Linked DNA regions of Rattus norvegicus. The protein of the gene in region 1 purifies or fractionates together with the protein of each later gene. This does not show direct contact. Links are inferred from orthologs where the notes say so. Each region holds a gene or a part of one and is shown in the gene's direction. Other genes may lie near its edges.

The links. Proteins that work in one complex are often made in the same cells at the same time.
Region 2: the proteins of Prkag3 (region 1) and Pfdn1 purify together in Homo sapiens (affinity purification with mass spectrometry; 3 studies listed by BioGRID and IntAct, counting the BioPlex papers as one, with this or other methods). This does not show direct contact. The link is inferred for Rattus norvegicus from reciprocal best matches to the Homo sapiens genes PRKAG3 and PFDN1.
Region 3: the proteins of Prkag3 (region 1) and Prkaa2 purify together in Homo sapiens (affinity purification with mass spectrometry; 3 studies listed by BioGRID and IntAct, counting the BioPlex papers as one, with this or other methods). This does not show direct contact. The link is inferred for Rattus norvegicus from reciprocal best matches to the Homo sapiens genes PRKAG3 and PRKAA2.
Region 4: the proteins of Prkag3 (region 1) and Prkaa1 purify together in Homo sapiens (affinity purification with mass spectrometry; 3 studies listed by BioGRID and IntAct, counting the BioPlex papers as one, with this or other methods). This does not show direct contact. The link is inferred for Rattus norvegicus from reciprocal best matches to the Homo sapiens genes PRKAG3 and PRKAA1.

What each region holds. Positions count from the first base shown.
Region 1 is NC_086027.1:83,750,179-83,756,188, reverse strand, and holds the start of Prkag3 (5'-AMP-activated protein kinase subunit gamma-3), read left to right. Parts: upstream 1-2,559; 5' UTR 2,560-2,666; coding exon 2,667-2,699; exon of another isoform or gene 2,700-2,749; intron 2,750-3,024; coding exon 3,025-3,064; intron 3,065-3,499; coding exon 3,500-3,652; intron 3,653-3,969; coding exon 3,970-4,376; intron 4,377-5,050; exon of another isoform or gene 5,051-5,301; intron 5,302-5,632; coding exon 5,633-5,714; intron 5,715-5,827; coding exon 5,828-5,886; intron 5,887-5,987; coding exon 5,988-6,010. UniProt on the Homo sapiens protein: AMP/ATP-binding subunit of AMP-activated protein kinase (AMPK), an energy sensor protein kinase that plays a key role in regulating cellular energy metabolism.
Region 2 is NC_086036.1:28,337,474-28,343,604, reverse strand, and holds the start of Pfdn1 (prefoldin subunit 1), read left to right. Parts: upstream 1-2,481; 5' UTR 2,482-2,508; coding exon 2,509-2,541; intron 2,542-6,037; coding exon 6,038-6,131. UniProt on the Homo sapiens protein: Binds specifically to cytosolic chaperonin (c-CPN) and transfers target proteins to it. Binds to nascent polypeptide chain and promotes folding in an environment in which there are many competing pathways for nonnative proteins.
Region 3 is NC_086023.1:125,105,361-125,111,286, reverse strand, and holds the start of Prkaa2 (5'-AMP-activated protein kinase catalytic subunit alpha-2), read left to right. Parts: upstream 1-2,276; 5' UTR 2,277-2,539; intron 2,540-2,721; 5' UTR 2,722-2,969; coding exon 2,970-3,063; intron 3,064-3,139; exon of another isoform or gene 3,140-4,608; intron 4,609-5,926. UniProt on the Homo sapiens protein: Catalytic subunit of AMP-activated protein kinase (AMPK), an energy sensor protein kinase that plays a key role in regulating cellular energy metabolism.
Region 4 is NC_086020.1:55,965,535-55,971,424, forward strand, and holds the start of Prkaa1 (5'-AMP-activated protein kinase catalytic subunit alpha-1), read left to right. Parts: upstream 1-2,240; coding exon 2,241-2,367; intron 2,368-5,890. UniProt on the Homo sapiens protein: Catalytic subunit of AMP-activated protein kinase (AMPK), an energy sensor protein kinase that plays a key role in regulating cellular energy metabolism.

The sequences.
Region 1 (6,010 bases):
GGAGGTCAAACCATGACTTCACGCAGGCTGGGCAAACACTCTGAGGTACTTCCCTAGACCATTCTTCTTTTCCTCTCCCTTTCCTTTCTTTTCCTGCTTTGAGGCGTGGAGTTCAGTTTCTCACACATTCGAGGTAAATACCTGTCTGCCACTGGACAACCCCACTACCTTTGGAACCATTTGCACAAGGACTAGAGTCCGGGCCTGCCTTGCTACCTCTCCCATCCTCCTCCCTCTGGTAGCCTGAGTACACCTCTTTTGTAGGACTTTGATAACAACAGCAACAATCTGAGTGTTTACACTGGTTGAAATGAGTTAGCAGCTCTGTGGTCCAATCCCAAGGGCACATGATGCAGTAAACCTGGAAAGGCCACTCCTGACCTTCCCAGTATACCTCCCGTCCCTTTCACGGATTCAGAGCAGGCTTAAATCTCACACCTCTGCCTTCCCTTCAATGCTCCATTCTCCATGTTCCACATAGGACCTCCTCCTCTGGAAAGTCAGCCCTGATTGCATCAAACACACAGAACTGGTGCATCGTTCACTATAGCACGTGACCTTTGTACCCTCCTCAGAACAGAGCTACCCTTCCGTGTGCAAATATCTTTCAGCTCATTTGATTTCTGGCCCCTGGGTGGCCAAACCATGTTGACTGGAAGTGACGAAAAGTTCCTTCAGGGATCGGCCAGATCCAATTAAAGTCTAAGCTGGTTGTTTGCTTGCCAAATGACCTTGGAAAGCACTGTCTGTTTTCTCTGAGTTCCTTTCCATGCCTGGGTGATGGAATGAAAACATTATGTAATGGAGATTGCCAAATGAGACTCTCTAGTTTTCTTTTCTTTTAGTGGTAGAATTAAATGAATTTGAACTGGAACGACTGCCCATCATAATGACTGAGATCACCAACTCCCTGCTCCTTTGAAGCCTCGTGGCTAAAGTTGGCAAAAGTGAGGGAGTAGCTTCCACTTTGGGTCTTAGGAGCTGCATGGATTCTTTTCTTTTTTCCTTTCCTTTCTTCCAGCTAGAATGCTAGTGCAAGGGTAGAAGCTAGAATGGTCATCTGATATTCAAGAAGAAAGTTGTTTTGGATGGTTTCACAACTACCTTACCAGTTCTTGACTGTCTATAGACTATTGTTTAAAATACCTTCCCCCTCCCTCCCCTCCTCCGTGTGTGTGTGTGTGTGTGTGTGTGTGTGTGTGTGTGTGTGAGAGAGAGAGAGAGAGAGAGAGAGAGAGAGAGAGAGAGTGATGTGGTGTGCCAGAGGCTCTGTCTTAATTTTTCTTGAGACAGAGCCTCTCACTAAACCTGAAACTAGGCTGGAGACCAGCAGGTCCCAGTGATCCTCCTGCTTCCACACCTCCACATCCAGCTTTATATGTGGGCCCTGGGGACTTGAACTCAGGTCCTCACATTTGTCCAGCAAATGCTCTCACCCACTAAGCCACCTCTCAAGCTCCTGGGCATTCTTACAGTGGGTCTTTGTTACAGCAACCAAACCTCTATCCTAACCAATTTTTGTTTGGAAGCGCTGCTACTTAAAATCTAAAACAAATACTAGTTTAGAGACTGACTAGCCGCTAGCAAGGAAAATACTGCACAGGGGCCAGCTGTGGGCCATAGTCACAAGTCATACAGGCTATGACTGTCATGCCTAGGCAATAGAACACAGCCTCATGGACACTGAGGTGGGCCCACTTGCTGTGCCTCGGGAGTTCTCCTCTCTGGCAACAGATCCAGGTCTCAAAGACACTCAGGAAAAGCAAAAGCCTCCCTCCTACACAGTTCGTCTCCACCCTCCTTAAAGGCAGTTGCAGGTGCTTGTGCTTTGAAGGAGAGAAGAAAATATGTTCAATAAATCCAGCAGGAATCCAATAGTCCGTTCCTGAGTTCCACTCAGGGGGTCTCGATGGAAGAGACTGGAATGACACGACGAAGGGAAGGCCAGGGAGAGGGAAGCCAGAGCAGCTGGGTCAGTGTTCCGCATTTGGGTTCTGACTCAGGCCCTAGGAATGCCAAAGAAAGCGGTGCGCCGCACAGGAGCCAGGCTGGGTTCCCCTCTGGCACAGAGAGATGCAGAGTCAGTACTCATGGTGGGTTAGGGTCTGGACTCCTTCATACCCATTCATCTCGCCTTGGCACAGGTCAATTCAGGTATTTCTCCCTCTGCACACAGGTATGAGCCCAAGCTCTCAGTCCCATCTCTCGCCTTTGTGATGACCAGCAGAGCGCCTACTGGTCTGATTCTCTTTCTCCATCCTTCATCTTTCACTAAAGAAGGGAATAGGTTTGTGGGACCCAAAATGGGAAGTCTCGACATACCCTGGCTCCTCTCTCGGGACCACCCACAACACCCTCACCCACCTCCATCCTTGAGTGTATCCTCCTTAATTCATCCCACCCAGGCTAGGGAAGTTTGCATGAAAGAGAAGGTAAAGGCAGTCAACTTTCCTCCTTAGAACTTTCAGTTCGAAGATGAGAGTTCCACCTCCGTAGCGCCCCCAAGCTGCAGTGCCGGAACAGCTGCCGGCTGAGCTCTCCCTCCCAAGACCTGACAATCAGAGAGAACCCGATACCCCGAGGGCCTGCCGCCAAACGACCGGCCCAGAATAGTGCCACCCCGCCGCAGCCCGTCGCGCATTTGCTAACAGACTAGAGCTGGCCACATGGAGCCCGAGCTGGAGCACACACTGCCTGGGGTACCGGGGTCCCAGGGGGCCGCGGAGAAGGACAGCAAGCGAGTGGCCGTGTGTGTGTGTGTGTGTGTGTGTGTGTGTGTGTGTGTGTGTGTGTCCCGGGTACGTGGCCCCGGGTGCTTGTTGTGCACTCTATTCTGTGGTCGGTGCTATGTATGTATGTATTTTGCGTGTATGTGCCTGTGTACGGTTCCAGGTGTGCCTGGGGCATGCAAGTTGTGCATATCTGTATACCTGTGGTGTTTGGGGTGGGTGTGCTTTTTAAAGGGGGACAACCCAGGGACTTTAGAACAGAAAGCATTTTCACTTGAGACATTCTCTCCCAAAGACCCTGACCTGGAGCCACAGTGGGGGTCCAGAGAGCCAAGGTGGGTGGAGTGCTGCTCCCTGTGGGTCTAGCCTTTTCTCTTTAGCTCCCTTGTCTCCTGCCTTTTTGAACTCCAGTTCTTAACTCCTAGCTTGGCTTTTGTCAGGAGAAATTCTTTCCCCCTCAGCCTTCTCCCTTTTTTCTCTTCTCTTTTTCCCCAGTGTGTGTCCCCCATCTCTCCTTTCCCCTTTGCTGTGTGATTTGTGATAAATTGCTTAACCTCTCATATTTTCGCCCCCCCCCATGCTAACTAGGAGGAAGGCTATTCCTATTTACAATATGTGCCTTGGAAGATTCCTATGAATAGAAAACGAAAAATATTCCGAGGGGGGTGGGTGGGAGGGGCTTTGAAAGGCCAATATCCTCACTAATGACATCAGACTTGGTTTGTTGTATCATTCCCTACTAATCAAAGACGTTCCTTTCCTCCTTCCAGAGATGGACTTCTTAGAACCAGAAGAAAACTCATGGCCATCGCCAACTGTGGCCACCAGCTCAGAGAGAACCTGTGCTATACGGGGAGTCAAAGCTTCCAGATGGACGAGACAGGAGGCCGTAGAGGAAGCAGAGCCACCAGGTTTGGGAGAAGGTGAGGCCAAGGTCGGTTATGGTGACAGGGTCAGCAGGAATTCCAGAGCGGAGCTTGACCTCAGACCTCTCCATCACATGGACTTAAACCCAGTCCCATCATGGCCTCTGTCTCCCTAAACGAGACAGCAATACCTGTGCTGGCAACCCCAAGCCCCAGGGCAGCCACCTTGGAAAGGTGGAACAGAGTTACTGTCAGCTAGGACTCTGAGACTCTACAATATCCCCGTGCCCCAATGCTGCCAAAGACTGAAAGCACAGAGAGTATTTGCTTTGGAAGATGAAGTTACTGTCCTCCCTGCTTCCTTCCCCCAACAGGTGCCCAGTCTGGACCAGCTGCTGAGTCCACCAGGCAGAAGGCCACATTCCCAAAGGCCACACCCTTGGCTCAAGCTGTTCCCTTGGCTGACGCGGAGACCTCCACCACAGGGTGGGACCTGTTCTTGCCCGACTGTGCAGCCTCAGCAGTGGGCTCCAGCACAGGTGACCTGGAGCTGACCATAGAGTTCCCAGGCCCAGAGGTCTGGGACTGTGAGCTCAAAGGCCTGGAGCAGGACAGGCCTCGGCCTTGCCCCTCCCCGCAGGCTCCACTTCTCAGCCTGAGTTGGGACGATGAGCTTCAGAAACCTGGAGCCCAGATCTATATGCACTTCATGCAAGAGCACACCTGTTATGATGCCATGGCCACCAGCTCTAAACTGGTCATCTTTGACACCACACTGGAGGTAAGACCCTAGCTTGACTCTACTTAACCACAGGGCTCAGCCTCCTGCCTCTGTAGCTACCACCCACATTCTCCTGGCTGTCTTGTCAAGCTGTAGTGTCTGAAAGCCCCTTTCTGGGACTCCTTCTTAGCGTCATACACACAGTAGGGAGAGAGCATGCTCTGTGGGGATCCCCTAATCGCCATCACAGCTCTGCTGCCTAGAACCTGCTAAACCTGGGGTTGGCCACTCTATCTCCGTCATCTCTAAAATGGGGATCAGAAGCTTGCTTCCCTTGTTTCAAAGAAGTCTTCGAACAACCCAGGGCAAAGTAAGAATACCCTGTAAGACATTGCAGAGCTACTCGGGACCGAGAGGAGGGTACCAGCTGCGATAACCACTCTTCCGTTAGGCTAGACTGACTCTGTCCTTAGCACTGTTACTGCATGATGTTCGAGGCAAGATGCATACATGCTCGAGGCCTAGTACATGTGTCATCCACAGAACAATCTGGCTCTGGCGTTTTACAAAGAAATATACTATCACAAAAGCTTTGCTTAAGTCTTGATGTGTGTCAAAGAGTTGGCTGCAGTGGAACGCATGTGTAATGCCAGCACTGAGGGGGCTGGGGCAGGGAGGTCTCAAGTTCCAGGTCGGCCTCTAAACCAAGGAACAACAACAACAACACACGCGCGCGCGCGCGCGCGCGCGCACACACACACACTCACACACACACACACACACACACACACACACACACACACACACACACCACCACCACCATCACCACCACCACCACCACCATCACCACCACCACCACCACCAGAAACATAGAAAGGACAGGAGAGAAGAGAAAAGAGTTAAGAAAAGGGAAGAAGAGATGGGAAGGAAGGAAAGATGAAAGCCAAGCAGAGCCAGCACATATGGAGGATACCAGTCAAAACAAGTTAGTCTCAAATTTAGTGGGGAAACTGAGGCAGCTGTGCAACGGGTGACTAAGTATTACCTCTAGTCGTTAAATAAGTAAAACAGCATCATGTCTGTATGCACATGGCCTCCTTGTGGAGGAAACACTGCTGTGTCTAATTATGATCCCTCAGTCCCTCTGGGCACAAGTGGCCATATTTGTGTGGCAAATGTGCCCTTGCCATTGGAAAGAGGCAGACTCATATGGAGAAGAAAGACACCATGGGAGGAGACTGGTGGGGACAACAAGAGGGGAGGATGGACTGCTGTCAGTCCTTACTCCTCCCCGTTTGTTCTTTCCTGCCCCTCAGATAAAGAAAGCTTTCTTTGCCATGGTGGCCAACGGTGTGAGGGCAGCCCCTCTGTGGGACAGCAAGAAGCAGAGCTTTGTGGGTGAGGAAAGGCGGTTGGACCTCATGTGGTACAAGAATGTTGGCATTGGGTCCTCACTGAGCCTTGCACTGAGGCCTAACTTCTTCCACGTTTGTCACCTGCCAACCCTGCAGGCATGCTCACCATCACGGACTTCATCCTGGTGCTGCACCGTTACTACAGATCTCCCCTGGTGAGTTCTGGGGTGACTGGTGGGCTGGGATAGGGACATCTTCAGGAGGCCTGATGTTCCAGGGCTCAAGTCTGACCCCAAAGTCCCACCAATGTCTTTAGGTCCAGATCTATGAGATTGAAGA
Region 2 (6,131 bases), on another chromosome or scaffold:
TAAAAAGCCGGATACAGTGATCCAGCAGTGCTGGGTGCACAATGCACAGTGACAGAAACAAAAAGGACTTTGTTTCAACCCAAAGTTGTCCTCTGACCTACACACACACATACACACACACACACAATCTGGGAATCTGGGAATCTGGGACTCATATATTTCATAAGATTTTTTTGGTAGATATAAATGGAAGGCAGTTACAAAGGTGTTTCTTTCTTTTATTCTTTTTTTTTTTTTTTTTTTTTAGGTCTATGTAGTCCTGGCTGGTCTAGACAGAGATCTTCTTGCTTCTGTCTCCTTAGCACTGGGATCAAAGAAAATCATCACAAGAGAGGTCCAGCAGACATCCTCAATGAAAGAAATCACATCCAGAAAACCTCAGGCCCAAGGCATTGTAAAGAAAGCGTCCAGTACTTAGAATGAGTATGCTCTAATTGTATTCAACATCAAGTAGCATGGGAAAGAGCTGATAAATTTGAAAATGATCAACTGGAAAGTTTTTATTTCTGGATTTTTGAGGCAGAATTTAACTTTGTAGCCTTTAATTTAAATTAGCTGGCCTAAGTAGAATTTTCTAAACTGTAGTCTAAACAGAGCACGGTGATGCATAGCTAGAACGACAGTGTTTCGGAGGCTGAAGCAGGCAGATGAGGAGCTTAAGGCTAGCATGGGCTACAGAGTGAAATCCTGTCTCAGTGGAGAAGAAAAGCACTGAATGAAACATTAGAGTTTATAGTCATTGAAGTAAAAATTCAATTGAAGAGTGAAATGACAAACGAGACACAGTTGAAGGGACAACGCTCACATTAGTGAAGCGTAGCTCACCGAGATAGGAAGGTATGAAGCATAAAGCAGAGGTTGAGAGACATGGATGCTTCCACACACTTCTAGTCAGACACTGGCTGCACATTCTCCAAATTACACACGCCCTTAGATGAGAGAAGTATGTTGTGTGCCAAGCAGGAATGAGAGAATGACAGTGCCCAAGCCAAAGTGGATCTCTGTGTAAGATCGCAGTCTGTATCCTGCCCCTGTCTCTTAGCGTGGTGCCCCTGTATAAGCAGCCTACACTGGTCTGGGATCACTACCAGACTGCCCTTAAATTCATGGCGAGCTTTCTGCCTCAGTTTCTCCAGTCCTAGGATCACGGGGAGGACCGCAATGTTTGACCCTCATCTATTATTTTTGAGTTTTTGGGTTTTTGTTTTTTTTGAGACAAGTCTTATGCAGTCCAAGATGAACCCCAGCTCTCTATGTCATTGAGGATAACTTGAACTTTTTTAAAGTACAAAAAGATTTATTCTTATTATCTTTAATTTTGTCTACACATGTGCATGCGTGTGAGAGCATGTAAGCACAGGTGCCTGCAGAGGCTAGGGTGTGCATTCTCTGGGGACTGGAGATTACAGGTCATTGTGAGCCATCTAACGTGTGCTGAGAGTCAAGCTCTGATTCGCTGGAATAAGAGTATAAGCTCTTTTTTTTTTTTTTAAAGATTTATTTTATTTATATGAGTACACTGTAGCTGTCTTCAGACACACCAGAAGAGGGCATCGGATCCCATTACAGATGGTTGTGAGCCACCATGTGGTTGCTGGGAATTGAACTCAGGACCTCTGGAAGAGCAGTCAGTGCTCTTAACCACTGAGCCATCTCTCCAGCCCCAAGGGTATAAGCTCTTTAACTGCTGACCCATCTCTCCAGTTCCTAGTTTTAAATTTGAATCTATTCAGTGTATGTGTGCGTTCATAAGCATGTGTGGAGGTACACACATGGAAGGGAGTCAGAGGATAATTTGTGGGAATCAGTTCTCTGCACCATGTGGGTTCTCAGGATTGAACTCATTTATTTCGTTATGGTGGCAAGCACCTTTATTCCCCAGGCTGACCTGACCTTGAACGTATGATCCTCCTGCCTCAACCTACCTAGCACTTGGATCACAGGAATGCATCATCATACTCGTTTTGTACGGGGCAATTCAGAGTATCAAATGTGCTAGGCAAGCATTTAGCCAACTGAACTACACCCCAGTCAGGAATCTGATCCCAACAAACAGAATTGTCTCAAGAAGCACTGTGTCTAGAAGATATATGAGGAAGCTTCGGCAGAATTAGGTTCTTTTTAGATGAACCATATTGCTAATGGTCTTACTGGCATGCCCGAAGCTGGACTGACAGCACAGGAACTGAATGAATGATTGATGAGCTGACCGACAAACCTGTTTCAATTCCGCAGCCCAAGTGAAGATGTTTTTCTAATTGTATGTGGAGGAGCAAGTTACATCTCGGCAGTTACACGTTTATCAAATATAATCAGAATTTCAATGTTCAGGGTCATTTGTCTCGTGGCAGAGTGGTAGAGTCGGGTAGATTACAAGCTGAGAAATCTGGGTTAGTTGAGTTCACCTTTGCGCAGGCGCAGAAGGAAGCCTACCAATAAAACCTGCAAGCGCCCTTCCCCCACCCCTTTCCGGCTTGCCTCTAGCGCAGGCGCATAGTGTCCTTCAATATGGCCGCCTCCGTGGATCTGGAGTTGAAGAAGGTAAGGGGGGATTTTCAGCAGACAGACACTTCTGTTTGAATGATAAAGCGAGTAGGGACGAAAATGGGGGCGTGAGGGGGGAGGGGGAAAGCTCGCGTTTCGCTGGAGGAAGGAGACTGTAGGGGGCGGGGTCTGGCCTCCCGAAGCCTTGAGACCGGACCCGCTCTGCTTCAGGTGGAGGCTCTTGCTCGCAGGAGCTGTTTCTGGTGGGTTTAGGTTGCTGGGTCGCACGCGGGCTGGGCTGCAGTGTGTTCTTATGTTGGAACTTCAGAGACATCTCTCTGTGTTTTGGAGCCGTCGGGTACCAATTTCATAGCAAGGACTGAAGACAGTGTCTCACAGTGATGATGCCTGTCAGGATGCTTGCAGGAGAACTTGCAGTTTGGTTTCCTCATTTGATTTGAAAAACTCCAGGTTCAATCTTTGCTTTTAGGTCATTTATTCTACACTATACCTTGAAAGGTCTTTCTGTATTTACACCTCAAATAAGCAGACACTGCTTGACTCCTGTCAAGGCTCTAATCCTCCCTTCCCCATCACCTTTGTAAAGAGCTCATACACTACCCCTCCTCCCCAAGTAAGTTTTCCAAAAGACCTTTCAGAGGAATTGGATTGTTGTTGTTGTTATTATTATTTTGTTCAATCCGTTGCTTAGAAATGATTTTGTTATTTTGCTTTTTTTTTTTTAAGAGACAATGTCTCAGGGTGTTCTAGATTGACGTGGGACTTATTGCCCTTGAATTCCAGGCAGTCTTTCTGCCTCAGCCTCTTGAGTTCTGGGAATTAGTCTTGAGTCAAATGCCTGTTTATAAATGGGTTGTTAATTGGAAACATTTTTGCTACTTAACAGTCTTGGGACTGATCCTGGCTGTGCTATCTTTGTGGAGAGTTAGCTGTAATTAGAAAGGACCCTAGAACTCATTCTGTTTAAATGTACTTTTCTAGAAAGGTAAACTTCTAGTGTTTTTTTTTTTTTTTTTTTCTTTCTGGTTAGCTTGGTTTAGTTTGGTCAGGCCCTGAACCCCTAATGTACTTTAGTGCTGTTGCCTTCAGAGTATTAGGGTAACAGATATGTGCTAGGGTCCCTGGCAAGAAAAGTCTTAAAAGATTGAGCCCCAGGCAGCAAGATGGGTCAGTGGTGAAAATACTTGCCAGGCGCCTGGCTGTTTAAGTTCTATCCCTGGAACCAACGGTAGAAGGAGAGAACTACACAAAGTTGTTCTCTAATCTTAGAGGCACACACTAGTACACTGCTCGGTGCTCACACAAACAATAGTAAACACATTTTTGTTTTTTCTTTTCTTTTTTTTTTTTTTTTTTTCGGAGCTGGGGACCGAACCCAGGGCCTTGCGCTTTCTAGGCAAGCGCTCTACCACTGAGCTAAATCCCCAACCCCAGTAAACACATTTTTAAAACGGAGTCTAGCATTTGGAATTACTGTAATCCTTTTTTTTTTTTTTTTGTTCAGTAGGTTTTTTTTAGGTGAGAAACATTTTTAAAAGTTGTGTGTGTGTACATTTTGCAAGGTGCTTAGTGGAAGTCAGAGAACAATTTTTGGGAGTTAGTTCTCTCTTATGAGGTGGGTCCTGGGGATTGAACTCTTGGTATCAGGCCTTCTAGGCAAGCTGAGCCATCTACTGGCCCAGATTTGGATTCTGGTTTTGTTTTTCCCAAGAGACAGAGTCTCATGTCGCCTAGGTTGGCCTGGAACTTGGCTATGTAGTTGGCATGCACCCCTACACCCAGTTTCCCTAGTGCTAGGATTTGCACTCAGGGCTTCCTGCATTCGACAAGACCTCTCACTGGGACCTAGGGATTGCCACTTTGGCGAGATTGTCTTGTGAGCTGCTGGGACCTTTATTTCCCCCTTGCCCTTCATGCCTAGCATTAAACAACAACAAGTTGTATTTTTATGTATGTGTCTTGCCTGCATGAATGCCTGTATACCATATGTGTGCATCCCTCTCAGGCTAGAAGAGGGCTTTGCATCCCCCTGAAACTGTAGTTAACATGTGGTTGTGGGTTGCTATGTGGGTACTGGGAACCAAACCTGGTCCTCTGCAAAAGCAGCCAGTGCTTTTAACCCCTGAGCCATCCCATCAGCTCCCAAGCTCAGCCACCTTGTGGGTCCTGGGGAGTGAACCCTGGGTCAGCTGACTGCACTGTTTCCCTAGCTCCCATAAGTAACATCATAAGTAGCTGTCTCTGGTTAACCTGTGCCTAAGTAATACGACAGCTGAAACAGCTGTTCCTAATAAAAGAAGCCACTTGCTATTGTTCTGGGGATGCTAAATATGTGCATCTTTCTGCCATTCTTGTCTTGAAACATGTAAACTTAGCCTTAGATAGCATTCTCTCATGCTATAAATCTCAGCCTTGTAAGCTTTTCTTTCTTTTTCTCTTTTTCTTTTTGAGACATGGTCTCACCATGCATCCTGGACTAGCTTGGAACTCACTATATAGGTAGACTAGGCTAGCCTAGAAATCACAAGAGATCCTCCTGGGTTCTAGGATTAATGCATTTCTGTGCCTGACATGTAAATCTCAGCTATGTATCTATATCTTTATATAAAGCGTTTTCTCCTTTTATCATGTAGGTTCAGGTCCCAGGGATGGAACTCAGGTTGTTAGGCATGGTAAGAAGTACCTTTACCTGCTGAGCCATCTGTGAACCATTGTCTGTCTGTCTGCCCACCCATCTATTTATCTATTTATAGATAGATTAAAAATTAATTTTAAAATGTAGTTTGTGCATTTGAAAGTGTGCTCAAGTGTTCTCTTACCAAGTAGTTCCCAGGGTCAAACTTAGGTCATTAGGCTTGGTGGACAGTGCTGTTATCTGCTGAGTCAATCTCAATCCCCTAAAAAAAATTTCTTTTGTGAGACTAGGTGTCTTGTAGCCCAGCCTGGCTTCAAATATCTTATGAGTCGGAATTCCAAACAGCTCCTGAACCCCTTGCTTCTGCCTCGCAGTTGTTAGGATTATAGGTGGGAGACACCAGGTCTGGCTCTCCAGCCAGGATTTTGATATAATGTGAGGTGTTTTGGATTCTAGTTACATAATACAGATGTAGTAAGTTGTTTCTTGCATTGAATCTCTTGGGTTTATCTCCTGAGTATTTTATTTATCTCTTTTATTACTCTGTGGTTAGTTGATGTATAGCTATTTTTTTAATGCACATTTATTTTGCTTATTCATATTGATCACATCCTCTATGAATAGAGTCAATGAATAGTGTACTTTTAGAATTTACAATTCTGTTGACTCTCATTATCTTGGTAAATTTTACAGCCTTGTCTGGTTAGCATGTTCTGTTTTAACAAATCTAAATTTGACTTAAGTTTTTTTTTTTTTTTTTTTTTTGGTTCTTTTTTTCGGAGCTGGGGATCAAACCCAGGGCCTTGCGCTTCATAGGCAAGCGCTCTACCACTGAGCTAAATCCCCAACCCCTTGACTTAAGTTTAGCCTACTAAATCAAGCACTTGTTTTTCTTAGGCCTTCACAGAGCTTCAAGCCAAAGTTATTGATACTCAACAGAAGGTGAAGCTTGCAGACATACAGATTGAACAGCTAAACAGGACAAAAAAGC
Region 3 (5,926 bases), on another chromosome or scaffold:
CAAAGAAACTTGAATTGTCAGTGAACAGGCAGCTCAACGTGCTTTAAGATCTCAGCAGATAGCTTTCCCTGGTGTAGCTTCACAATGTAAAGACTCTTCGACATCATTTATTAGATTATTAGGACAACACAGACACACATATGTAACTCTCACCAGAAACGCTTTCTCATATTCCCCATCCGAATGACTAGCAAGGGAATGGTCTTTAACCAAATAAAAGTTCAGCCTTAAAAATAGCCAGGAAGCTTTCTCAAATTTACCAGCTAGGTTGAGATTCGTAAGTGAGACGTCTTGTCAGCAGGAAAGGTGATCTGAAGAGCGAACAAAAATAGCCCGTGTCCGACAGCTGTGATGTCTATAATTTATACGCTGAGATCACCTCTCATCAGATCGCCATGGCGTACACACAAAAGAGAGTCAGTCAGTTGTATGTTTACTAGGTCTCAGGAGATGAAATTTTGTTATGCCCATTTCCTAGGTTCACTCTTTACGTACAAACATCGTGACTTGAGACTTCATGTTTGAGGAATGTGACTATGAAACTCTATCGGCATGCACAGTGTCACAGTTGTTTGACTAACCTTTAGTAATTTAATCACCAAACAGCAAATAATCAGTTTTCTTTGTGTTTCTAAATTACTTTTTTCATGGGAAAAATTGCAAGTGTTTATAATGTTTTGAAATGTGTTTGTCTTAGTCAGGGTCTCTATTCCTGCACAAACATCATGACCAAGAAACAAGTTGGGGGAGGAAAGGGTTTATTCAGCTTACACATTCACATTGCTGTTCATTACCAAAGGAAGTCAGGACTGGAACTCAAGCAGGTCAGGAAGCAGGAGCTGATGCAGAGGCCATGGAGGGATGTTACTTACTGGCTTGCTTCCCCTGGCTTGTTCAGCTTGCTCTCTTATAGAACCCAAGACTAGCAGTCCAGGGACAGCACCACCCACCCTGGGCTGGGTCCTCCCCCTTGATCACTAGTTGAGAAAATGCCTTACAGCTGGGTCTCATGGAGGCATTTCCTCAATGGAGGCTCCTTTTCTGTGATAACTCCAGCCTGTGTCAAGTTGACACACAATACTAGCCAGTACAGTGTTTGTATGTGTTCAGGGAACTGCTATGGAAGTAATGGAGGTATGAAGTTTCATATTCCTGTAACAGGAAGCAAATAATCTTCAGGTATGGAAGGATCGACCAACATTAAGTAAAGCAAGGAGAGAAGGGGGAGGGGGAGGCAGGGAGGAAGAGATTGCTTGATCATAAATTATTTGCCCACTGTTAATACTCTGGTCATGCTTTGGATTCTCTTTACTATTTTTTTACTTTCATCCTCAGTAATCCATTTCTTTAATTTGCACTTTTACATCATTTTTGTTTCCCACAATTCTTTGATCCCTTCTGTGTTTTGCATTTACCTGAACATGTGAATTATTTCCTATATTAGTATTTCTCCTTTGTCCAGTCACACACACACACACACACACACACACACACACACACACACACACACACACACACACACACACAAGTGCTGAAATATACTTAGGGCTCTGTTTGTGATTTATTGAGAAATTTTGTTTAAATTAGTTAGAATCGAGAGTCCTGGAGAGGGTGTCTTTTATCCCTATAACACGATTGTCTATATAACTGAATGAAGAAAAGAAATAGAAGGAGGGACATAATTGCTCCTGGCTACAGTGGATATGCTGGTTTGTCATTTGTCAAATTGACACAAGCTAGGGTTATTTGAAAGGAGGGAACCTCAATTGAGAAAATGCCTCCATAAGATGTAAGCTGTAAGACATTTTCTTAATTAGTGATCAATGGCCCATTGTAGGTAGTGCCATCTTTGGGCTGGTGGTCCTGGGTTCTGTAGAAAACCAGGCTGTACCAGCCCTGATGAGCCAGCCAGTAAGCAGCACCCTCCCGGTGCTAACCCCCCATGGCCTCTGCATCGGGACTGCCTCCAGGTTCCATGTACTGTTTGAGTTCCCATCCTGACTTCCTTCAGAGATGAACAGTGCTGTGGAAGTGTAACAATAATACCTGTCCTCCCCAACTTGTTTTTTGGCTATGGTGTTTTATCACAATGAAAAAAAACCTTAACTAACACAACGAAGAAGGCTTATTGTAGATAAACGAACGTACAGGCAGAAGCAGGGACGTTTAGGAGAGTCCAGGGTGAACATGGGCAGACTGAGCAGGGCTATGTGAGGAGAGAGGGGGAGTGGGAGCAAGAGAGGAGCCAGGCCTAGAGGGGTGGGTGGTCTGGGCTGAGAGATTAGCACAGCCAAAATGGCTGAATAATCTAGGGACCAGGGGACCTGAGGGAAGGGGCTGGAGTCCCTGGGCTGGAGAGTTCGGGGTAGGAGTCGAGGTATGGCAGGCAGGAGGACCCTATCCCAGTTAGGGACTGAGGGATGCTGAGAGAACCTGGCAGCCAGCGTCATCTTTGATATGTTAATGATAGGCGTCTCCTTGGGCAGTTTGTCCAGGGTTTCGACCTAACAATAACGTGACAAGGAACTACAAAATAAGCGTGAGTTCTAAAACAATGGGGTCGCTATCTGAGGAGGGTACGGACTAGAGCGTTCCCAGTCAAATAAACCTTGCCTGGGGGGAGCGTGCCAGGGGCTAGGGAAGGGCCGCCCTCCCCGCCTGGTCCTGCTGTCCTGAGGCACGTCTCATGGTCTGCACCCCCTCACCCCCACTTCTCTTCAGATTCTCCTTTCACCTCGGTCGCTCTCAGACTCATCCCTTCCATCTTCACCGCCGTGGGCTTTCCTCAGGACGCTTCGGGCTCTGCGCCTCCAGCTCGCGTCCACACACGCCGAGCCGCGCTCACCCTACCGCGCCCCAGGCGTCCCCGTCCCGCCCCCCGGGCCCGCTGCACTGTGGGTAGGCGGTGGCGGCGGCGGCAGCGGCGGCGGCGCTTAGAGCCCGCGGCCCGGGGAGGCCGCGCGCCGAACATGGCTGAGAAGCAGAAGCACGACGGGCGTGTGAAGATCGGACACTACGTGCTGGGGGACACCCTGGGCGTCGGCACCTTCGGCAAAGTGAAGAGTGAGTGCAGCGGCGCGGGCGCGGGGCCGGGTGGCAGGTGGAGCGCTCGCAGGCGAGCCCGGGGCACAGGCACCTGGCGCGGCAGCCGGGGCGTGGGTCAGGGGGACCCACGGTCTGAGCTGTGCCTTGGCGGGGGTGTCTGCGAGCACCCTGTCTTTTCTCTACCCGTCAGCTCACTTGTCTGCAGAATTGGGCGACTGGCCCAGTCCAAAGGGCCCCGAAGCGTGGGGAGGATGGGGTAGTCACGGCGCCGCGGATTGGGAGTGGGTCTCCCACTGGTGCCAAGCGCTCTGCCTGGAGCAGCATCTGTGGTCTCACTTAATCCTTTACGTGGCGTAGCCAGGGTGCGGTCCTCACCTTAAAGGTGAGAGAACGCGAGCTCCGAGGCTTCAGCGGCACGCCCAAGGTCACAGAGAATTGGCAGATTCAGGGTGAGGTCTAAAATGTCCTCCAATTTTGGCCTTGCCGATAAGGCCCCTGGCTTCCCCAGATTCTTCCCTGTCCCAGGCCTTTGATGGTGGAGTTGACTAGGGGCATGCCTAGAGCTGAGAGGTGGCGAGTCCCCTCTGCTGGGTGTGTGAAAACGCTGGAATGCAGCTGGTTGGGCAGAGGCTTTAGGGGAACCCCAGCTCTGCAGGTTGATTGGTGTGTGTAAATTGGTTCTAGGAAGACTTCTGGGGTCAGGGTCTGGGAAAAATGTTCCTTGGTAATGGAATTTGGGTCCCCAAGATGTCAGACTTGCTTAGGCAAGGCGTTTGTTTGATGGCAAATTGTGGGTTTTGGGGGGAAAAAAAAACAGGTTGCTTTTGAAATTTCAACTCCACTTACTAGTTAAGTATTAAACTTTGCTTTGTTTTCTTATTAGTTAATAAGAGTCACATGGGTTTGGTTTGATTACCAGCTCTTGTTAAGAAGATACTTGGTAGCGAGTTGAGAATTAAAAGTGAAACGTTAGCTTTTTTTGTTGAATAAATAGTGGGTAAGCAGTCTGGGAATTTTATGCTAAGGCATATTTTTCACATTTTAACCTCCAGTGAAGACTTGAATAGAAGGCAGGGACTCATCATTCCTGCGAGGATTAACTCCTCTCGGTCTATCTAATACCCATTTGTACAATGAGAAACACTGCTTATTGAATGCTCTTACCACATGCGAGTTACTGTTCCAGGCAACAGAGTTCTAGGAAAGCAAAACCTGAGCTTTCTTGGGACTTTTCCGAGAGGGAAATGCAATCAGAATACACGTGAAAAATGTATGCTCCCTCCTACTGAGAAAGGCAACTAGGGGAAGAAAGGATGGGGACTTTAGTTAGGCAGATTATATTAAGGTGGTCACACATGGTCTCACCAAGTGGGTATTTTTGTAAAGACCTAAAATGTTCGTAAAGTTATTTGAAGTCTTATGAAATCGGGATCTTGTAAGAACTGTGGATAGTCGTGAGATGGTCCAGAGATTTGATGGGTGATGTTGACACCATCTTTGCTGAGAACTGCTTTGCTGGATTGGCAGTACAAAGTTATGCAAACGGCTGCTTTGCCATTTAGGGTAAGTTATATAACTTAGCCGTTTATGCTTTCATGTTCTGCTAAATGCTTTTGTTTGCTTTTGAAAAAAAATTTATTGTACTCTCGGTGTAGAGTGCAATACCAACTCTGATTCCTCAAACCATTGTCACGGGATAATTTAAAACTATTTGGTTATATTCTTTGCTTCTAAACCACCAGCTTCCTAAAGTATAAATGGAACTGAAGGGACCTTTGATTTACGAGAAAAATCTTTTTCTTGGAGAACCCTGGTGGAATGAGCTGTTTGGGGGTTTTCCTGATGTTGTTTGATCTTCCCTAAAGAAACACTGTATGGTGTGATAGTTACTATTTATGTCAAATGCACACAAAGAAGACTTAGCTAGGAAGGGAATCTGAATGAAGAGTTACTTAGATCTAATTAGCTCGTGCACATGTTAAAGTGGGAAGCCCCCCCCCCCCAAAAAAAAATTCTGGGCAGCACTGTTCCCTGAGATTGGGTCCTGTACTGTGTAAGTATAGAGGGATGGCTGAGCATGAGCAAACATCCATGCATGTGTTCTCTCTCTCTCTCTCTCTCTCTCTCTCTCTCTCTCTCTCTGTCTCTGTCTCTGTCTCTGTCTCTCCCTCTGTCTCTCTCTCTGTCTCTTTCTCTCTCTGTCTCTGTCTCTCCCTCTGTCTCTTTCTCTCTCTGTCTCTGTCTCTGTCTCTCTGTCTCTCTCCCTCTCTCCCTCTGTCTCTCTCCCTCTGTCTCTCTCCCTCTTTCTCTGTCTCTCTGTCTCTGTCTCTCTCTCTGTCTCTCTCTGTCTCTCTCTGTCTCTCTCTGTCTCTCTCTCTGCTGGTGACTGAGGATGTGACTGCTTCAACTTCCTGCCTCCGTTTCCCTCAAAAGGTCTGTAGCCTGGAGATCTGAGAGAAAATAAACCCTTTCTTTCCTAAGTAACTTTTAGTCAGGGCATTTTATGACAGAAATTAAACTAGGTCGTATGGGTTTGTAATCAGTACGGCCGTAGTTGTTAAGTAGTTAAGTCAAGGGACTGGTGAAACAGAGCACACGCATTATAAGAATACGTTTTAATCTATTATTTGACAGTTTCATACAATGTGCTTTAATTAGTGCGCTCTCTCTCCCCCTCCAACTCCTTTCATGCCCTCCCACCAAATCTCCATCCCAATGTCACATATGTATATAGTGGTGCAGATATGTGCATGGGTACGGGGCCAATCCACTAGGGGTCACATCTCTGAAGAAAACTAGACCCCTTGCCCCCAACCCCATAAACAACTGTGAACTGTGTAGGTAGTTTCTCATCTGAGAGTGGGCCTTCTTGAGCTCCTCC
Region 4 (5,890 bases), on another chromosome or scaffold:
TGATAATAACATTTTGTAAAAAACCAAACCAACCCAAATCTAAAACCAAAATCTAAATCCAGACTCCCCAGAAACTTGCTTTTCCTTTGAGACAGTCTCAGTCCTGCTAACCCGGAGCTCTCCATGTAGTCCCATCTGCTTCTGCTCCGGAGTGCTGGAGCTAAACAAGTGTGCCTCTGTGCTTGATGCAGTAGCACAGCCTAAGGCTTCACAGTTTCAGGAAAAATTGGCAAGTGGTTTTACCAAAAATTTCCTTCTGCTCCTTGACACCATCCTGTTGATGTAACTGGACTGTTTTGTGATTATTTCTCTTTGTAAGCATTTACTTATTGTGCGCAAGTGTATCGTAGGCACACATGTGGACGTCAGAGGATAACCTAACTGGGAGTCCATTTTCACCTTCAACCATGTGAATTCCAGGTTCCAATTCAGGTCTTCAGGCTCTATGCTGTGTTCCTGTAACTACTGAGCCACTTATCCTGCCTTAGTTTGTGTTCGTTTTGGGAATCTCATGTAGTTCAAATCAGCCTCAATGTCCCTAGGTAGCAGGGGATGACCTTGAACATTTGATCTCACTGGTGATAATCTCCAGTGCTGGAATTGCAGGCATGAGCTATCATGCTCACTTTTCATGCTACTGGGGATCAAACCCAGGGTTTAGCCCATGCCAGGCCAGCACCCTACCAAAAGCTACAGCCTGAGACCACTTATTTCTTGTAGATTAAAATAAACAGTAGAACCTTCCTGGGTTAAATCTTATCCAGGATGCAAATGTGAAGTAATTTAAAATGTCAGTTCATGGGGTGGGAGAATTTAAAGGGTTTCCCCCTCCTTAAGAGAATCCAGAGCTATTTCTGCCTAATAGTAATACGTGTAAAATAGGGAATTGATTAGCCACGACTGTTCTCAGTTACTGGTTTCTACTTAGAAGAAGTTGTTTCTCAGCCCGTGGCTCGCGACCCCCTACTGTATCAATCCCCTTAGATCATCAGAAAACACAGATGTTTACATTGTGATTACTAAAAGTAGCAAAAATTGTTATGAAGTAGCGTTGAAAATAATTTTATGGTGGGAGAGGGGTCACCACCACCGCATTAAAGGGTCATAGCATTAAGAAGGTTGAGAACCACTCACTGCTCTAAGCTTAAAGTGGATTTCTTTCCCCTGAAGAGGTTTCCTTGGAACAAAGTGCTTAATATTACATTGCTTTAATGTCATAAGCCAGAAGATGGGAAAACTGGGAGTTTTTGCATCCCAAAGAAAAATGACATTTCTAGGCTCTTAAAAAAAGTACACCGTCATGGAGACTGACCTTTCTCTCCATTGGCAACGACAGAAATTCAAACTAAAAAATCGAAGGGTGGCATCTGTTTATATACGTTTATGATAATACCCTTATTTTGCCTATCGTTAGAACCGAGTAACAGATTCACTTCAAAATCCTATTTCAAATAAACATACTTTTTGGTGAAATGCTATGGCCCCATTTATAAAAACAACATACTCTCTTTTTTTAGTGCACTGAAAATATACATTTTATTGAAAATGTAACAATATTAATTTCGATACACCATAATTTCGGGATAACACGTCTCTTTCCGGAGTACACATAACTCACACACATTCCATCGGGGAAATTTGAGGGTAGTAAATTTCCTAGGAAGACCCTCTAGGCTGCTTGAGCTGTGCGGTGTCCAATAGTAATTTACTGGCTCAGAGTTTTCTTTTTTTAAACAGTGGGAAGTATTAAAAGTGCAAGTGGAAACATCCTTGGCTTCCAGATGACAGGGAGATGAAAATCAAGATTAGAAGACAGTGGTAGGGCGGTGTCCCCTGTCTTGTTTCACAGCACGCCGCACTATCCCCGGGCAAGAGTACGCATGGTCCTCCTGGGAACTACAGAGGGGCTGTATCTTCTTCACCCGCAGACCCTCGAGTGAACTAGGGGAGACGGCGGCCCGCTCCGCTGCAGGGGAGGCCCTCCCGCGCGCAGGTGGGCAGGCGCGCGCAGAGGGATGCGGGGCGCCGAGGCGAGTACCGGCGCCGCTCCCGCCGCCCCGCCGCCTAGCCCGCCAGGGGGAGCGAGTGCGCTCGGCGGCCGGCTGCGGGGACTGCGGGGCCTGCGCGGGCGGCGGCCGGCGACTGCGCCCCACCGCGGCGCACCCGCGTCCCCACCCCCTCGGCGCCCGCCCGCCCCCGGCACGGCCCTGCCCGCCCCCTCCGCCCCCTCCCGCGGCGCCATGCGCAGACTCAGTTCCTGGAGAAAGATGGCGACGGCCGAGAAGCAGAAGCACGACGGGCGGGTGAAGATCGGCCACTACATCCTGGGGGACACGCTGGGCGTCGGCACCTTCGGGAAAGTGAAGGGTGAGGACGCCCGGGCCAGCGCGGACCCCGCGAACGGCGGGCGACCGCGCCTTTTCGCACTCCGCATCCTTCCCCGCGCCCGCCTTCCGGGTGTCTGGGCTCCGTATTCCCGATCCCGGCGGCGCTGGGAGCGGAGCCCGAGGCCACCGCGGGCTGCAGAGCTATGGGGTCCGTCGCGGTGGGGTGGGGGCGGTCGCCATGGCGACGGCGCGGCGCCCGAGGGGCGGGGATGGCTCTGGGTGCAACTTTCCCAGGCGAGGGAGTTGGACACTGCGCGCGCGGGGGAGCCCGGCGCGGACGAGAGGGTCTCTTCTTCGGATCCCCTGTGCGCCCTCGGCGCAGAGCCAGCCCATCGCGCCCTGGCGGTCCTTGGAGTTGTCGCTGCCTTGCTTTTAGGAGGTTGTCGACTTATGTGCTTCTTCATTTTCCTGAATCGAAATGTGTTCTTCCAAAAGTAAGGTAGCTGTGAAGATATCTTTCAGAAATAATAATGCCCTTGTAAGGACTATTGATCTCCATCAGGACTTTTGATGGCTATGCATGCGAACTGGCGCTGTGTTTCCTATGCGTGGTTTACAGTTGGATGCAGACTCTGCTTTAAGTGTTTTCGTTTTCAGAAGTTTTGCGGTTTCTGAGAGCCGTACCTGGTAGGTAGGGCTTATGTTAGCCCAGATGGTATTTATTAGCTTATAGGTACAGTTTCCATTCATTCTCAAATATATTTATATTTTAGTAATTCAGAGCCCATGTTTTGAACTTTTTGTTTGTTTTGGTAGAATCCCCTGCCTTAGCAAAAGCACAAGTATTGTCTTCAAACTTGTAGTCTAGCCCACCGTCTGTGACAAGGTCATTTCTGATTACAACCTTTGTGAGTGGACTTTTTTTTCCCCTTTAAAATATTTAAGCCTGCTATTAAGTATTTAGAGGACGGAAGTTTGGAGCTGATAAGAAATAATTCATGCATTGGTTTTGGAGAAATAATAGACTAAGACCTGCACATACTGAGCTCTTAGTAGATATTTGATTGAAATGAAGTTTGTCAAATTACACAGCAAGCTAACTGAGCTTCGTTCTCCCAGGAGGAGCAGAAGACCCCTTCCTTCTCTTTCCCAGTCCTAGAACTGAAAGATGCTGTGTAACTCTTAGCAGAGCAAATGCATAAATCTTCCTAAGGAAAATCAGTAAGCTAGACAGTGTGAATGAGGAGGGGGAGTACAGTCTAGGGCAGGAGCACTGATCACGGTAAGCCAGTGAAATGTTTGTGAACACTTTGAAGTTTCAGCTTTGTCTCTTTTTATGTATGTATGTATGTATGCATGCATGCATACGTGCATTCGAGAGACTGTTACAATGCTGTCCAGGCTGGCTTTGAACTTGTCATTCTTCCTGCCTCAGCTTCTCTTCCAGTGTTTTGTTTAGCTTTAACTAGGCATGTTCCTTGTTTGCCATCATAGTGCTTTTTAGTTGACACGTGCTGGTAAGAAAAGCTTATTAAGGCTCTGATTGAAATGATAAGGCAGGCTTGGACTCAGAAGGCTCCTTCCGAAGGTCCTGCTTGGAATGTGGCGTCCGGTCTGCCATTTCTTTGACATGGACGAGAGTGGATCAAGCAGAAAGGAAAGGAAGAAGAGATTGTTTTCAGTTCTGGGCCTTGACCTGTGAAGTAGCAGTGACTCGAATCTCCCTCCCAGTGACTCTGCTTTTCCCTAACCTTCACTGCTCCACCCACCCACACAGTCTTCTCTTGAAATACTATACTGTCAGTCATAAACCTCCTCAAACACAGAGGGCCAGTGTGAGTCAGAGGTTATATTCATGGTTATAATTAAACTTGTCCTTGAACCTGTTAGTTGATGTGGGTCTAAATATTCAGTCATTTCATTTAAAACTGTTAAACGGGATGCTTTTTTTTTTGACATTAGTAATAGAAACCATGATTTTTGCTATGATCCTCTCTTTACTAAGGAATGGCTGGACTGCCATATGTCATTTTATTGCATCAGAAAGGGGTTAGCATGACTGCCTTAGTTAGGGTTTTACTGCTCTGAAGAGACACCATGACCAAGGCAACTCTTATAAGGACAACATTTAATTGGGGCTGGCTTACCGGTTCAGAGGTTCAGTCCCTTTTCATTAAGGTGGGAACATGGCGGCAGGCAATGTGCAGGAGGAGCTGAGGGTTCTACATCTTCATCTGAAGGCTGCTAGCAGAATACTGGCTTCCAGGTAGTTAGGATAAGGGTCCTAAAGCCCACACCCACAGTGACACACCTACTCCAACAGGGCCACATTTTCTATTAGTGCCACTCCCTGGGCCAAGCATATACAAACCATCTTAATGACCATAGGATGACCCAGGTTTGGATGTGTATGTGTGTTGGGGAGGGAGGGGCATTTTCCTTTTTTTAGTCTCTGGCTACAGTGCACAGTTATGTGTGTGCTTGCTCTTCCTATTGCGACACTATGAAGAAGGAGGACTATTAGGTAGGAGAGGAAGCAGAAGGCAGGAAAGTGCAGAAAGGGGGTAAAAATAACCACAGTGTCTGGTCATATTGGAAATTTTTTAAAATTAGTTTTATTTTATGTGCATTGGTATTTGCCAGCATGTGTGTCTGTGTGAAGGTGTCAGATCCCCTGGAACTAGAGTCACAGACAGTTGTGAGCTGCCATTTGGGTGCTGGGAGTTGAACTCAGGACCTCTGGAAGAACAGCCAGTGCTCTTAACCACGGAGCCACCTCTCCAACCTCCCCCATCTCTAAGAATTTTTAGAGATAATTGCATCAGTCATAAATTCTATGTATGTATGTATGTATGTATGTATGTATGTATGTATGTAGGATCGATCTATCTTTTTTTTTTTTTTCTTTCTTTTTTTTTTTTTTTTTGAGACAGAGTTTTTTCTTGGTAGTCCTGCTCCTGGAACTCACTCTGTAGACCAGGCTACACTTACACTCAAAGATCTATCTGCCTCTGCCTGGCTCGAAAGGTGTGTGCCACCACTACCCTAGCCTTAAATTCTAATTGAGAAAATGTACTTATTTTTTGAAAATTTTATTGAAAAAATATTTTTCAATTATTATATATGTTGGTAAATTTAACATAAGAGAATTTAACAGAAATGTGATACTTATAGATGGATAAATCACCCATATGATATTTAGTGCTTCCGGGGGATATACGTGTGTTTGGTTTTCTTTTTTTTTTTTTTTTTATTTCTTTTTATTTTTTTAAGATAGTGTCTCATTTAGCCAGATTGTTCTCAAACTTGCTGTGTAACTGAGAACAGCTTTGGGCTTCGGATCCTTCTGTTTCTACCACCCTGGTGCTGGGACTACCAGCCTACGTGCTAACATGCCTGGTTTTATATAGCGTTAAGGATTGAACCCAGGGCTTCATTCTGCTAAGCCAAATGCTCTACCAACTGAGCCACATCCCCAGTCTTAGAAATTTAATTTTGGGGCTAAGTTGATAGTGGTTGTCTTGTTATGAAATAAACAGTAATGAAAATAATTGGGTTACTTA